Drosophila melanogaster: one gene and its partners. The main gene of each other region encodes a partner of the protein of the gene in region 3 in a complex. Each region holds a gene or a part of one and is shown on either strand. Other genes may lie near its edges. The genes, in order: thoc5, thoc7 and thoc6.

Region 1 (5,250 bases), on a different chromosome or scaffold from region 3:
ACGCAAAGAGTGTTGAGTACAAGGAGTTGCAGGAGGATAAAAGCAGTGTGAAAATGAATATTGAATAGGAATGAATAAACGGTTGTTGCTATTACATTTGCCCCACTCATAGTTGTTATTATCAAGGCGAGGATATTAAATTTTTGGTTCAACAAATAAACGCCTATTTATTTACTTCGGAAGGTACTTCAACAGTCGAACCTCGTGCGACAGCCACAATGCGAAACTCAGCAGAATAAGCGAGCCCGACTGGTGGGCCGTTGCCAGAGGCACGGGCACGTAGTTAAGCAAGGTGGTTACGCCAAGCGTGGCCTGCGTCCAGGCCATAGCCACCACGGCGTTGATGGCCCAGTTGGCGCGCTTGGGCAACTGCATCCTTCTGGTGACCAGCCACAGAGCGGTGGTCAGCGTTACTGTGCTAATACCAAGGATGCGGTGATTGAACTGCACCGTCGTCGGATTCTCGGTGATGTTCTTCTGTATGGGCGCAAACGTCCACATGTCATCGGGAATCCACTTGTCGCCCATCTTCGGGAACGAGTTGTACACGAGTCCGGCGTCTAGTCCGGCTACAAAGGCTCCAGAAATGGCAGTCAGCAGGACCATTGCCTTCGTCAAATGCGTCAGCCCCTTGATATTAAATGCTTTCTTGGCTTGGATCACGAATGTGTTCGTGGGGATGAGCAGGGACATGGCCTTTGACAGGGAGAGTGAGTACAGGACGAAGGCAGCTGCCAGGTGGGAGGCCAATCTATACTGGGATACCCGTGGCACGTCGTTGGGATCCTGGAACCTGTCTTCCAGCCCGGACTTGACCATGTACCATCCCATCAGACCTTGCAGGCCAATCAGTGTGCCCAGCAGCAGGACGCTCTTCTTGGTCTTCGCACAGAAGTATCCCTTTCTCCAGAAGTAAACAGCGGGCAAAAGGAAGAACCCGCCGATGGCACGACCCCACATCCTGTGCATGTACTCCATCATGAAAATGAACTTGAACTCCTCCACGGTCATATTCACATTCTTTCTGAAAGCAGAAGTTTGCATGTAGTTCCTGGCGTTGGATGAATCTGGGGAGTACTCACAGCTTGTACTCTGGGTATTGCTGGTAGAGATTGAACTCCTGCACCCATTCCTCCTGGGTTCGGGGCATACGTTCACCCGTCAGCTTCCAAGTGACCATGGACAGTCCGGACTCTGTCAGTCGGGTTACTCCGCCTGGAAGAGATTCACTTTCGCAAGGAACTACAAACTTTACATTTTGTTATTGGTTACCTAGACCAACGGCCACGAAGACCATGCCGCTGACTCCCAGGAACCATCTTCCGACGGTCTTGTCGCTTTTCGGAGTGCTGATGGGCTTTATCACTGGGATTTCCTGAAAGGTGCGGCATTAACAAATATTACTTTATAAATAAAAACATATTTTTATATGTAATCAGTGGGATATTAATGCAACCTTTATCGCTGTTTGCGCAATCGTCTGGTGAAGTCGGGGGCCGGGTACTACTAGCTTTATGAGATTGGTTCTCTTCTGGAGCAATCGCAGCATTGTGTTATTTCAAGTTTGGAGAGATTAACTTAAGCTTACAGCAAATATTAAAGGATATATTTTGTTTTTTAACTATATTTACAAAGCCGCTACCAAGTGTGACCGCAGCAGTGGGGTATGCGCATATACTAAAATCATTTTGAAAAGTACCGGCGAATGTTATCGACTCGATAGCCTGGCCACATTATATCAGTTTTGTTAATAAAAACAACTTTTGCGGCTTCTGATTTACAATTTCGCCAAATAAAATGGAAACAATATTGAACACGCAGTTCGATCAGCTGCAAAAGGCCATAGAGGGAATTAAGGAGGCGAAGAGCAAGGTAAGTCCGATTTCCGTGCCAGAGTACAGCTCTAAATCCGTCCACATCCGTCACGAGCAGGGGCAATCGACGGATGAGGCTCGCATTGCCACCACCTTGATGTTCGTGGCTCTGAAGCACGCCAACCGCGAGGTGAAGCACAAGATCAAAGCGGGGCGCGACAAGCTGCACCTGGAAAAGTGCAAGGTGGACCTCAGCCGGCTGCAGCTGCAGAATCTTCTGTACGAAGTGAGCCACCTGAAGAAGGAGATTGTGCGCTGCCAGAAGTTCAAGAGCAGGGACACCAGCTTGGAGCTGCTCTCGGAAGCCGAGTACTCCAGCGAGCTGCCAGACATGCCCAACGACGCGGAGGAGCTGTCCAGCCACAAGCAGCACCTTCATCGCCTCGACTGCGAGCTGCGTCTGCGGAAGGCACTCGACAAGCAGTACAGCGCCCTGCTGAGCTCCAAGCAGGAACTGCTCCAGGACAATCTTAGCCACGCCCAGCGGTACGTCTCCTTCGCACCCGCCTTGCGCACTCTGCAGAGCGCCACAAAGCCGCTGCACGATGCACTCCAGCTATCCCTGGACGTGGAATGGAAGCTAAGCGCAGTGGTCAAGTACCTGCCCAAGCCGCTCTACGTTTTGTTCATTGTCCTGCAATCGCTGCAGCGGGTCAGCGAGGAGCAGTCCTTCACCGCCGAGGTGGTTGGCTATGAGAGCGAGGCTCAAATGCAGGAGTTGCTTAAGGAGAAAAAGTGCTCCACATTGAACTACAGACAGACTAAAAAGGAAAGTGGAGACCGGGAAAAGATTGCCGATAAAAACAACTTGGACGACTCACTCGCTCCTCACCCACTACACATTTGTTTGACGGTAGGATGACATGGTTTGCTCATTCCAAAACATTTATTAACCTAAACTTTAAAGATTGGAGCGGCTGGATCGAATCAGCTCGTTTTGCAGATTCGCTACTTTGATTTTATCAAGTGTGCCACTGTCTGGGGCCAACTTAACTGCTCCAGGAATGCCAACGGCCAGGGGTAAGTTTGGAACACACCTAGGAAAAAATCGCATAAATAACTAGGCATTTTTTCACAGTGACACAAACTTTGTTCACCACCTATTGCGGCATTTGTACCCCAATGACTTGGGCAATGAATTACCCATTCCGGGAATCCAATACGAGGTAAGAACTTCCTTATCCAACGTTGGACAACCAATTAAATTACGCTCTTTCAGCTACGAAGCTCGGATTTAACAGCCGAGGAATGTGTGCGCTACCTCAAGGCCAAGGACTACGGAAAACCCTTCTGTTGGCTGCAAAGTATGTGCTCGATTGCAACCGTCAACAGTTCGATGCTGTACAAACACGAACTGAACTTGAATAAGAACAACAAGGAGATTATTGACCGCATTGCCAGGCGCTTGAACTCTTGGCAGCGTTTAAGCCAGCAGATTCGCGGGCTGACCTTCAAGGATATCGATTTGTATAGCTTGCAGGAGAACATCTATCCAGCCGGCCTGTCGTGCAGTCTCGTCCAATGGACTGCCATCACACATGAGGAGCTTCACTCGCAAATTTCAGACGCACTGAATTCTTCGTCAGCGGACAAGGGTATTACGTACAACTCTTACCGCGCTGTCATCGTCCGGGGATCGGCCAAAATGGAGTGCTTTATTAGAATACCGAGTAACTATCCACTGGAAATGCCTCTATGGATTCTGAATGTGCACTGGAACGGATGCCTTACCGCGCAAAACAATTCGGCGATCAAGGTTTGAACTTATTCAGGTATTATCCTCCAATTAGCTTTTAAACTTGTATTCCTCAGATGATGGAGTTCTGGACCAACTCCCTGCAGCCCAAACATTTGGAGCCCAACGACTGCATCCTGTACGCGCAGCTCTTCCGCACCATCTACAGCTTCGATATATTCCTCGAAACCGAGGGATCCATGCAAAACACCATTGAGTACAACAAGGAGAAGCCTTACATAAGCGCCTTCGCCAAGCGGAGCCGCTCACGCCCCTACAAATACATCAAGAAGGGATCGGTCTACGCGTTCAAGCAGTGACAGTTGAATAACGAATGTTGTACAACACAATGCGCCAATGCGGTTACTAAACGTTCTCACAGTTGCGTTTATTACGATTAGTAATACAATAAATAAGTAACATTTAAAGCTAGCTAGCTACGACTTCATTGGCAGTTGATCTTCTGGGAAGAGGTCGCTGCCAAGGATCCGGGAGGTAGTGCCGTCGCAGAAGGGTTCTCAACCGCCTCCCGACTCTCGTCCGGCATCACTTTGTCCACGACGTGCTTGACGATCAGCCCATCGTCGCCCAGATAGCAGACAGAGTAGCCGTCGTACCAGGCCTCCTGATCCTTCAGCACCTCCTTCAGTTGCCAGAGCTTGTACTTCCAGAACTGGAACATGACCTTCAGGCCGGAAATGCCGCGCACTCGCCACCTTATCCGCACTGTGTAGTCGTCCTGGTGCTTCGTGATCTTGAGCACCTCGAATTTCACGTAGGCGTACTTCAGGTGGCCAACCGTTCGCAGGATGGCGATCTGTTTGACGTAGTGGTACAGGCCCACCGTGTGCTTGCCCGTTATGTTGTTGTGGAAGATTAGGCCCGGGCTGTAAATGGAGTAGTCTAGGGGCTCCACGAACAGCTTTGGTAGCGTGGTCCTCAGAACCTCGTAGGCTCTATCCAGGTCCTCGGGCTTACGCTCGTTCTCCTTAGGGTTCCCGGGCAGCCTCTCCGCTTTGGTGCTCTCGTAGGCCCTTCGACTTTGCTGGAGGTTATTGGCGGCATGGCTGTTTAACAACTTTTGTGGACACTTCGCCGGCGCAGACGCACTTAGCCGCATGGCGGACGCCCACGCCCGCTCCTTGGAGCACCAGTTGGCCATCCAGCTGCTCCTTCTTATTGATGAAATCCCGAAATTTCGCAACATCTTGCAAGGACTTTGTGTGCTACTTCCTTCACCGGAACTGGGTTTCCTCGATTCAGATCTGCCTCGTCTGCAGATCACACCATTCAAATTGAACTTAGATCCTGGCTATTTTTCGTTTGCGGCCCTCAGGAATTTGACGTGCTCGTGTTTAGGTAACAACATTTGGAAATAAAATACTCGGCAAAAATCATATGGTCGTTGGGCTGCAGTGTGGCCAGACTGTGTGTAATGTCCCAATAGCTGCGAGTGCCAGTGTGGATGTTAGGGGAACTCCCGTTGTCCAGGGTTGTCATGCCGGATTAGTTTCACAAATTAACTTCCGCAACCGGAAGTCATGAAAATGGAAAATATAACTTATTTGGTTTGAATTTAGTGTTTCAAGCTTATTACATGAAATATGTTGTCTCTTTTTTGAAGTGCAATAATCTCAAACA
Region 2 (3,903 bases), about 12 Mb from region 3:
ACTTGTCTTGCCCAGGGAGCAGGGAACATCGCATGCATAGAGACTGAGGCAGCATGTGGATTACCTCGTTGGCTAAATAAATAGACGTAGAGCGTTCCTTCACTATGTTATCCAGTTCATTGTCCTCTATCAGGAAGTGCGAAACATCGGATATATGGACGCCAATCTCATATTCGTTGTCGCCTAGCTTCTCTATAGAAACGGCGTCATCCAAATCGCGAGCAGTCATCGGATCTATAGTAAATATGCACATCTTTCTTAAGTCTTTTCGTTGACGCAGATCCTCTTGGCTTATCGGAGGTGGCGGCTGGGAGTAAATGTCGATAAATCGTTGCTCAAATGGCTTTATATCCCGGAGACCGTTATGAAACAGAATTGCCTTAAGTTCGTCATCCAAATTACCCACGCGGCCAACCGGCTGGATTAGTTCAGCGATGCAGTGCCCATTGCAATCTGTCTCGAGTATATGGGCAAGGTATAAGAGGCCGGACACGTCTATTTGCTGCTTGTTTCCGATGTGGGCGGCACAGGCATCCTTCGGAACGTAGACCATGGGGACACGCAAATCGTACGGTCGGAATTTGTAGAATAGCTGGTCGTCACAGAGTTTGGTTGGGTTCGTAAACGATATGGTTCCCACGATCTGGCGGAGCTCAGTTCGTTTAGTTATTGCTATGACGAACGCTTTAGGGCAGTTGTCCGACGATATCACGACCACGTTGTCGGTATCGGACTCAGAGCCCTGGGACTCGGTATCGTCCGAAAGCTCCTCACCATCCGCTTTATAGGATATTATCATCAGTCGAAAGTATTATAAGTTTGCCGATAAACTTACCAAGAGATAATGAGGGCTTCCCACCAGAGATTTCACCAGACGAGGGCTCAGCTGTCTTTGAACTACCCTGAGCACCAGGGTTTAGCACGAATGCACGTACTTTGTCACCATCGAAGGCATAGCGCCTAGCCACTGGCAAGAGCACGATGCCATCTCGTTCGAGTGCTTCTCGATCAGTGGACATGATTATAAAGGCCTGTCTGTTGTTCTTGCGGTTAACCCGGATTTCCTCTTCTACAATGCGCCCATAACCCGCCGCAACTAGTCTCTGCGCATGCGCTTCCAGGTCGGAGAAGTTACCTTTGAAAATCAAGTCTTCCGACAACTGGTGATCCATACCCACGTGACGTTGGACAATCTTGTTTATGTACGACCGCATGGCCTCTAGTTCGGTTTTTTGCGATTGGGTCCCATTGCTACCGGATCCATCGTTTTTCTTGCTATTGCGTTGCCTTCGTCCTAGTTTCGGTTGCTGCTGTACATGACTTCCATTGTTTGTAGCAGAGACCTCAGAATCGTGGCGATGCCGCCCCTGGTAACCAACCTGTTGCGGATGTGCTTCTGACCTGGTCTGACTCCACTCGAGCTGAGAAAGGATCTCGTTTTTACGTATCAGCTGGCAGGCATACGCGTTAACATCTGGGGAGAGGTGTGAAAGATGTTTGACCATATCCTGAAGAGCTTCCACCTCATTTCGAAGAGCCCGCTTCGACTTCTTTTTCGCTATTAACCGATGGCTGGGACTAGACACGACGTGCAAATGCGAAAGTGGCTGAAGGCAGGGAATCTGCATGGTCGCCTGGTAGGAGGCGAATGCTACGTGGTAGGGCAATTGCATAGCTACCGGCGCTGGCGTGGATACTGGCACACCGTAAGGAATGGCCTGCCTGCTGTTGCTCCGAGCAGATGGTTGGGATTGGTTGGGATGTGGCCGTGGTTCCGCCCAGCGCATTAGTGGCTGCAGCGGAATAACGGCATTGTTGGCCGATAGGTCTTTGCTGGATGCATTAGACTCCATTTCCCTCTGCATCTGCTGGAGGCGGGCAGCAAGGCGTTGTGAGCGCTGTCGGAGGCCCTCAATCCTTCTGCAATCTCGGTCCGCATCCACGTTGACGCTTGACGTTTCCGACATTCTGCAAGAAGTGCACTTAGTTAATGGGATTCGCTGATGTCCGAAAGTGTACGGCACTACACTTGGCTATGGGCGGGATATAAAGGGTAAGGCATAATTCAATACTTTCTCCAAATTAAAATGATAGGACAAGTACAGTAGGACCGTACTGCGTGGTATGTCGGAGCAGTGTCAGCTTCGGCCACACTCCGATACGCTAGTTCGGAAATTAGTGGAGATGAATGACGGTAAGTTGTTTTTGTTTATTTTCGCATTTGGGAATAGATATTTAAACTGATCTTCCAGAAGAAATCATAAAGCAGCGCCTGCTGATTGACGGGGATGGAACTGGAGAGGATCGGAGAATAGTAGTGTTGCTGAAACAGTTCTTGAAGTGGGCCAGTGACTCGCTGGACAGCAAGTAAGAAATTGGATATGTGTGTATTCAAAACATGGTGTACATATCTCCTCTTTTCCGAATTACAGTCCCATCATGTACGACCGACTGATGGCCCAATTCGCCCAGTGCAAGCTCACTGCGTTAAAGAATGTACAAACTCTGCAGATGATCGCCGGTGAGCGTGACAACTACACACAACTAGTTGAACACCACGAAGAAAGTATTGTTTTGGCTAAAGCGGAAATCGAATCCAGTAAAAAAGAGCTAATCACTGCCAAGCAGATTCGCAAGAACAAGATGGAGTACGACCTGCTGGCCTCGCTCATCCAGGACCAACCGGACCGCAGTGAAACACAGCGACATATTGAGACCATTAGGAGGGAGATTGACGACTTGGTGCAAAAGAAGCTAAAGATGGAGCGCAAGTTTCAGAAACGACGCAATGACTTCACTTTGCTGATGTACACGATTCACGAGCTGGAACAGCAGCTGGACCAGGACAGCTCATCCTCGGCATCCTCCTCGTCCAGCGATTGCGATGCCCGCTCTGAGCCGGACCTAGACGACAATGGGATCATGGAGGTAAGCGATGAAGACGACGATCTCAACAATAGCACTCCCACAAAGTTCGACGGAGCCCGCGGCGAGCCCAAATATCACTCAGTCTCTACTGAGGACTCTAAAGCCATGTCCGTAGAAGAGGACACGGTGCTTGAGCTAAGCATCGACAAAGATGAGCACGACGTGGATGTAGCTGTTGCCAATTAGGTTAGAAGCGCTAGCATGTACAATAAAAACAAAAAAATAAAATGTCATGAACTATAATATACAAATTCAACTGTTGTTTCGAAATTCCTTCGTTTTTATTTCCAATTTAGACTTGCGCCAAAGACGATATTTAAGGGTTATAAAATTTAATTTTAATATATTTTTATTTTACTTGCATATATACTAGAAATAATTCCGAAATCCCAGGAGGTATTTTTAAAACGTATTTACTTTTGTCCGGCGTGCAGTCACACTAAAAAAGCTACGAAGAGGAAGAATACAATAAGAGGAAAATTACAAGTTTCATTAGCCATCTGCAGAATTACCGCACACCTTATGAACGCACAGTGTGCGCGCATCTGCAGTTTACATTGTTAAACAATCAAATAATGGCTGACGACAAAAGGTAGGTTAATTTTACTAAGCCGACCGCACGTGTGTGTATTGACCTGGGCTGCTCCCCTCTTGTACCGAATAGCTACGACTCCAGCAACAACAGCGAGACCGAAGAGCGTCGGGCCAAGCACAAAAAGGCTAAAAAGCACAAAAAACATAAAAAATCCTCGACTGGCAAGACCGAGAAGGACAGGCATGTCCACAAGAAGCAGAAGAAGGCAAAAAAGCGCCCCCACCGAACAAGCGAATCCACAAACGAATCGGACGCCCCGGAAAACGCAAAGTTAAAGCTATCACAAAATTGCGGGCTGAGCAGCAAGTTCACAGAAATCATGCAGAAGGCCAGCCGGAATGGAGCCGATTTCCGTGTCGGCAAACCCCTGCTTCCGACGG
Region 3 (5,785 bases):
TTCCGAATCGTGGATATATCATAGGTAGAAAGCCGAATTTTGGATCGATCTGGTGTCTAATTGGGCGCATGTTGAGTGCATTGACCAACATCTTTGGCTGCCGTATCGAAATGGGCACATCAAATCGGCCGTTGACGTCAGCTAACACCATTTGTTTCGTTTTCAAAAAAAAAAAGAAATAATAATTAATGTTTAAAACCCCGCCGCCGAATGAGTTTTTAATATGCAACGGCGTAGAACCAGTAGTCGCCATACCACTTTTCGCCAGGCAGTAAAAGTTCCACTCCCTCCGGCGCGATTCCATTTCCTCCCGAGGGCTAACGATCTTCTCGAGGGACCAAAAGACCCAGAGAGATTTGGACAAACTAGATCCGGTTGGATCTAATTTAATTCGCGAAGGGGAAGCGAGGTATGGCAAACAAAAATAAGCTAGATAGAAAGAAGAAAGAGCCGCTTAGAAGAAATTTATGGCTCTTGGGGATTTCCCAAAATACAACCAAATACTGGGCCACACAAAAACAAACTCCCATGACTACATCATGAGCTGTTGTGTAGCAAACAAAATTTGGCTAAAATTCATCAAAGGCATTTATCATTAGTCGGGGTGAAAAAAGAAAGAAAGATGATCGTTTGATCGCTTGATCGCTTGATCGCTTGATCGCTCGATAGCCGTTACTCAAATTGAAAGAAACTTTTTGGCGCCAGTAAGCCAGACTTGAAAATGTATCTGTTTTCGGTTCCGAGCACATTGGAATTCCCAGAAAAAAAAAACACGTGCGAAATGCCAATCCAAATGGTCCAATAAAAACCTAAGAAAGTCGTCAAAAAAAGCAAATCGTCTTGGAATCTCGTTTCAAATTGGCATGATACGTCAAGTTGTCAAATTAAATTTGCATGCCATTAATATGATGCCAAATGAAGCGCAGCTACAGTCGTTTAAAAATAAAAACTCGATATGATAAGGCATTGATTAAGCCGGAAAACCGCATTTCAAACGCCCAACGAGAAGTTCCACAAAAGTTCTGGGCCTTAATGGGAATTGGGGAATTTTCGATGTTTTTTTTTTTTTTTTTTTTGTTCAAGTATGTGAATTATGCTGCGACAGTTCGAACAGCTCTGTGGCGCCAAAATAATTAATTTCAAATCGACTGTCTCGACATTAATAAGCCATAGGTATTTGCATATAAATTAGAACGATTAGAACGGCCGAGAACAACAGGCTGAAAAATGTGTATCAACAACACACATTAGAATTTGTATTAGGCTAATACATGACTTCTGTATTAATCTTAATATTTAATAGGGGAAGAGTATTTTATTAAATGGGAAACATTTAATTTCAATAGTCTTCATTTTATGTGTAACATCGACTAGATCAATTTTAATGTAGAAAATATTGTATTGTATTTCTTAATCATCAACATGGAATTTTTGATGAAGCCATAGCATCGTAGAATTTATAAGGTAAATAAAAGATCAGGTAAATTATGTTATGTTTGATTGGTAAACAACGGAAACCTGATGTTGATAGCCATTTAATTTCAAGCTGCCTATTATTGTTTTCCAATCATAAGTGGGCAATCAGCATTTGTTTATAGGCAAACATGGGTACGAGCACGCTCTTCAACTTTAAAGATCTCCCCAAAAATTGACGTCATATTGAAGACTTTTCCATCATCATCTGATGATTCACGTTAATCCAATTTATTAAGTCATGAATTGAATGGATGGAGTCAAATATTAAACGTCATGATGGGTTTACAAATCCATATTTTAAGGCGATTAGTCAACTCAACTAGTATTTCACCTGTCTGAAAGGTCTCAGACTTTCTTAAATATCGGCTCTCACTGTGACAATGCAAAAAAAAATATTTAATTAGCTGAATGCCATCGAACTTCATGTCTGATTAAAGCTGAAATTCCGATTTTAGGCCGCTGTCCAGTTTACAATTAATGAGATTAATCGTAAATAAACATTTACGGAGAGCACTCTTACTTCTGACACACACGATAATTTGTGGCAGACACATGGAGAATGAAATTTTTTATGAGGAAATCGAATTGCAATCTCCGGCGAACGATTTTGCTCATGCAATTGCAATTACAATTGGTTTTCAATTGTATTTCCTCAAAATCAAAAGAATGTCGAATGATTGAAAACAGGTTATTTCGTAAATTCAAAATCCACGTTACGTTGGCTAACGGTTAACGTAATTGAACGTAACGTGAATGCTACGTAATATACTAACGCACTTTTAGGTATATTTTTCAAAAATAATATACTGTTCTTGGTATATTGCTCAGGAACGGTCACTCTAGAGAGCCGGCGTAAACAAAGCGATACAATTTGGTTAAATTAATTAAATTAGCTAAAAATATGAAACAAAAGGATCTGAAACGCGCTTACAACAATGTCCTAGCACAGGCTATATCCGGCTCTAAACAGTACCTATTTGCGGGAAATCTCTTTGGCGACATTTTCGTACTTAGGTGAGAATCCTTAATTTGGCGCAATTTCCCAACTAATTGTTTTTCTATTTTGAAGAATAAAAGAACTGGACAAGGGTTCCGAGGAGCCACCTGGCAAACTGAAGATCTTCCCGCAGGGCAGCGATGTGGACATCAATTACCTGGCCTTCCATCGCGATTTCTTGATAGTTGGTGCAGTGGGTCTTATTTACGGATTGGAATGGAACGAGGAGGAGGAATCTCTGGCCACCAAACGGTCCTGGGAGGTAAAGATACCCATGCAAGTGGATGCCGTCGAAGTGCCGGATGTGAACTCCATGTGGCTGGACTCGGAAAATAGCATCCTGTTTGCTGGCTGTGGCGACGGAGTGATCTACCAAGTGAGTTTGGAGGACGGACGAATTCAGCGCGAGTACCGCGGACACACAGACTACGTGCACAGTGTGGTGGGCAATGCCAACGGACAGATCTTCTCTGGCGCCGAGGATGGCACTGTGCGAGTGTGGAGCACCAAGCAGCAGCAGCACACTTCAATGCTGGAGCCTTACAAGAACCCAAATCTGTTACGTCCGGATTGGGGCAAATGGATAGGAGCAGTGGCTGTCAACGAGGATTGGCTGCTCTGCGGTGGTGGACCCAAAGCTTCAATTTTCCACCTGCGTTCCATGGAAAGCACATGTGTCTTTAGCTTCCCCGGACGCGTGCATCTATGTGACTTTGTGGACGATTGTGTCTTAATCGGTGGAGAGCACAATCATGTGCAATCCTACACTCTAAATGGAGTACTGCAAGCCAATATTCCCGTGGAGCACACTGCCTGCTACTCTGCTGTTTGGCAAACATCGCCCATTAAATTCATTTCCATTGCTGGTTTCAGCAACAAGTTGCATATCCTCAAGGATTTTCGCTTCCTCGACAGCAAGATTGAGATGTATGGGAATGTGGAGGGCGAGGAAAACGACCCAGAAGAAGAAGACGAACTTATTGAAAAACCTCTGACAGTTGAGGCGGCATAAAGGTGTAATAAATTTGTTCTTTAATTACATTATTATACTGTTTACATTTTTTAAATGCATTTATTCCTTAGGGAAACCGAGCATATTCCTCGTTTTTACAAGCGTTTCGTGAAATACGCAGCACTTGATATTCCTTGCTGTTCACATTATTTTGGAAATTACATTCTCCAAATGTTAATGTTCCCTTATCGTTGAGTGCGAAATCCTCCAGCATACCTATAAACTTTTTTGAAATAACTTCTTCATCCGGACGAATGCCGGTACGGTATGCAGCTGTATTGAAAATCAAGAAAAAGTCATCTCCGTGGACAGTACCTTTAATAATAAGAAAGCTAGAGCTTTAAGTATTTGAAACGCAAGTATGTACCCACCAAAATGTACATCTGTTCGATTGGAAAGCAATTGACCCACTCCGGAATCGGTAGGATTATCGTAGACAAAAGAATAAACCGGACTTTTGCCATACTTTCGGTGAAGATCTATTGCACTTGGCACGCTATTCTTGAAAAGAACATCAGTAAACATTCGCTGCACGTTCCAATAACTTTCCACACTGAATCGCCGATCTGCTAGATACTGCTGCCTGAGATCAAATGAAAGATCATCCATATCTTTGATGGTTTTCTTGGCGTCCCGATAGAAGAGCAAGTATGGTGCCCAATCAAACCATCGATCATTGAGTAGGTCAATCCAACTCTCGCCAGTTAATTTGTTTCTTTCCAACAGCTGAGCAGCGTTGTATCCCCCGTCCTCAGTGGTGTACGTCACAGCCCAAGGGACTTGGGCAAACTTCCCGCTCTTAATCACTGCTCTTGGGTCCTCGGTTAGAAAGGCGTCTGGTGCATCTGACGGCTCCACAACAGGTCCAAAAGCACTGAAGGGTACATAGGAAAACACAAGGAAGCTTCGGACAGCAGAGACTATATCGCTAGCCGGCTTAGACTTCAAGCAGTCCTTGAGTTCTGCGGAGACATTTGTGTGTCCACAACCGACAATACGACCCAGTTCAAATGCACGTCGTCGTCCACCCTGCTGTATGACCCAAGGATCCAATGCATTGCCGCTCACCGAAATCGCTCCTTTGGCCAAATGTTTGAAATCCTCGTGCAACAGCTGCAAATGAGCCGAAGCACCGCCTGCAGAGTGACCAATGAGCACAATATTATCTGGCATTCCACCAAAGTGAGCAATGTTCTTCTTGATCCATTGTAGGGCCAGACGTTGATCCTTTAGACCATAGTTTCCCGGCAAGTGTCTATCGCCGGTACTTGCAAAACCCAATGGTCCAAGACCAAAACTTATTTTTACCACAAGCAAAGTTCCCTCACGCATAATGGAGTCGTGTCCATATATGGATCCACTACCGAACATGAAAGCACCTCCATGCAGGAGTACTACGACAGGAAAGCTGCTCCGATTGGGTTTCTTTGGCTTATAGATGCTTACCGTTAAGCAATCCTCATCACCCATCAGCTTATTGTTTTCGTTTATAAACTGATTCCACTGCATGCACTCAACTGGAGACTGCGTGGCATTGAAAACATCAGTCCAATGATGACTATACGGCTGAGGTGCTTCAAAACGGAGGGCACCAGTTGGATGCTCGGCATTGGGAATCGATTCGTAGCTGTAGTACAACCCATTATCTTTGCCACGGATTTTTCCATTTGTTATCTCAACAATCAAGGGATCAGCTTCAGATTCTAAAGCTGCTATCCACAGCAAAGTCAGGCACAACAGCCGTTTGAATATACTCATGATCTGGAACTCCACAAAGTACTAATCAAACTGCGGGTAAACAAACGTTTATTATTCTTTATAAAGAAACAACAAAAACCAAAATATAAAGCGACAAACACGTTTTGTACAAATGATATTTAAAGCCAGTTGAGAATAATTAAATAATTAAAAATTACACAGAACGAAAAATTTTTGATTTTATTCATGTAACTTACGGAAATTCCACATGCTGCCTATTCTGGCAGCCATCAATATAAATAGCTAATAATTGGAATTTCTCACTACCTACATTATCTTTGAAATCGCATTCACCATATTTTAGAGAGCCATTATCACTCGAAGCAAAATCTGCCAGCATATTGATAAAATTTCTCGAAATTATCTGCTCATCCGGACGCATTTCCACATCTCGTACGAAATTTTCGAATATCAAAAAGTAGTCGTCACCGTGTACAGTTCCTATAAAAGTAATGATTTAACTAAGTCCATTTAAAAGTACGATTTCCTTACCAAAATCATAATCGGTTCGATTGGCCAGGACCTGTGCGATTCCTTTTTCG

The links.
Region 1: thoc6 (region 3) and thoc5 share a complex: the UniProt entries of both Drosophila melanogaster proteins name them as parts of the THO complex.
Region 2: thoc6 (region 3) and thoc7 share a complex: the UniProt entries of both Drosophila melanogaster proteins name them as parts of the THO complex.

What each region holds. Positions count from the first base shown.
Region 1 is NT_033778.4:23,952,367-23,957,616, forward strand, and holds thoc5 (thoc5), read left to right. Parts: upstream 1-1,724; 5' UTR 1,725-1,797; coding exon 1,798-1,872; intron 1,873-1,932; coding exon 1,933-2,727; intron 2,728-2,781; coding exon 2,782-2,894; intron 2,895-2,952; coding exon 2,953-3,040; intron 3,041-3,093; coding exon 3,094-3,630; intron 3,631-3,686; coding exon 3,687-3,929; 3' UTR 3,930-4,040; downstream 4,041-5,250. Other genes in the region: Stoml2 (stomatin like 2), read left to right, coding at 1-68; CG3803 (uncharacterized protein), read right to left, coding at 172-1,024, 1,083-1,215, 1,273-1,375, 1,457-1,549; CG16787 (uncharacterized protein), read right to left, coding at 4,055-4,816. UniProt on the Drosophila melanogaster protein: The THO complex is required for cell proliferation and for proper export of heat-shock mRNAs under heat stress.
Region 2 is NT_037436.4:210,909-214,811, reverse strand, and holds thoc7 (thoc7), read left to right. Parts: upstream 1-2,124; coding exon 2,125-2,194; intron 2,195-2,252; coding exon 2,253-2,367; intron 2,368-2,432; coding exon 2,433-3,114; 3' UTR 3,115-3,176; downstream 3,177-3,903. Other genes in the region: Dis3l2 (Dis3 like 3'-5' exoribonuclease 2), read right to left, coding at 1-780, 836-1,968, 2,028-2,062; Prp4k (Pre-mRNA processing factor 4 kinase), read left to right, coding at 3,504-3,520, 3,593-3,903. UniProt on the Drosophila melanogaster protein: The THO complex is required for cell proliferation and for proper export of heat-shock mRNAs under heat stress.
Region 3 is NT_037436.4:12,190,196-12,195,980, reverse strand, and holds thoc6 (thoc6), read left to right. Parts: upstream 1-2,292; 5' UTR 2,293-2,377; coding exon 2,378-2,490; intron 2,491-2,545; coding exon 2,546-3,485; 3' UTR 3,486-3,487; exon of another isoform or gene 3,488-3,552; coding exon of another isoform or gene 3,553-3,800; 3' UTR 3,801-3,856; coding exon of another isoform or gene 3,857-5,243; 3' UTR 5,244-5,285; downstream 5,286-5,785. Other genes in the region: Est-P (esterase P), read right to left, coding at 3,553-3,800, 3,857-5,243; Est-6 (esterase 6), read right to left, coding at 5,437-5,684, 5,736-5,785. UniProt on the Drosophila melanogaster protein: The THO complex is required for cell proliferation and for proper export of heat-shock mRNAs under heat stress.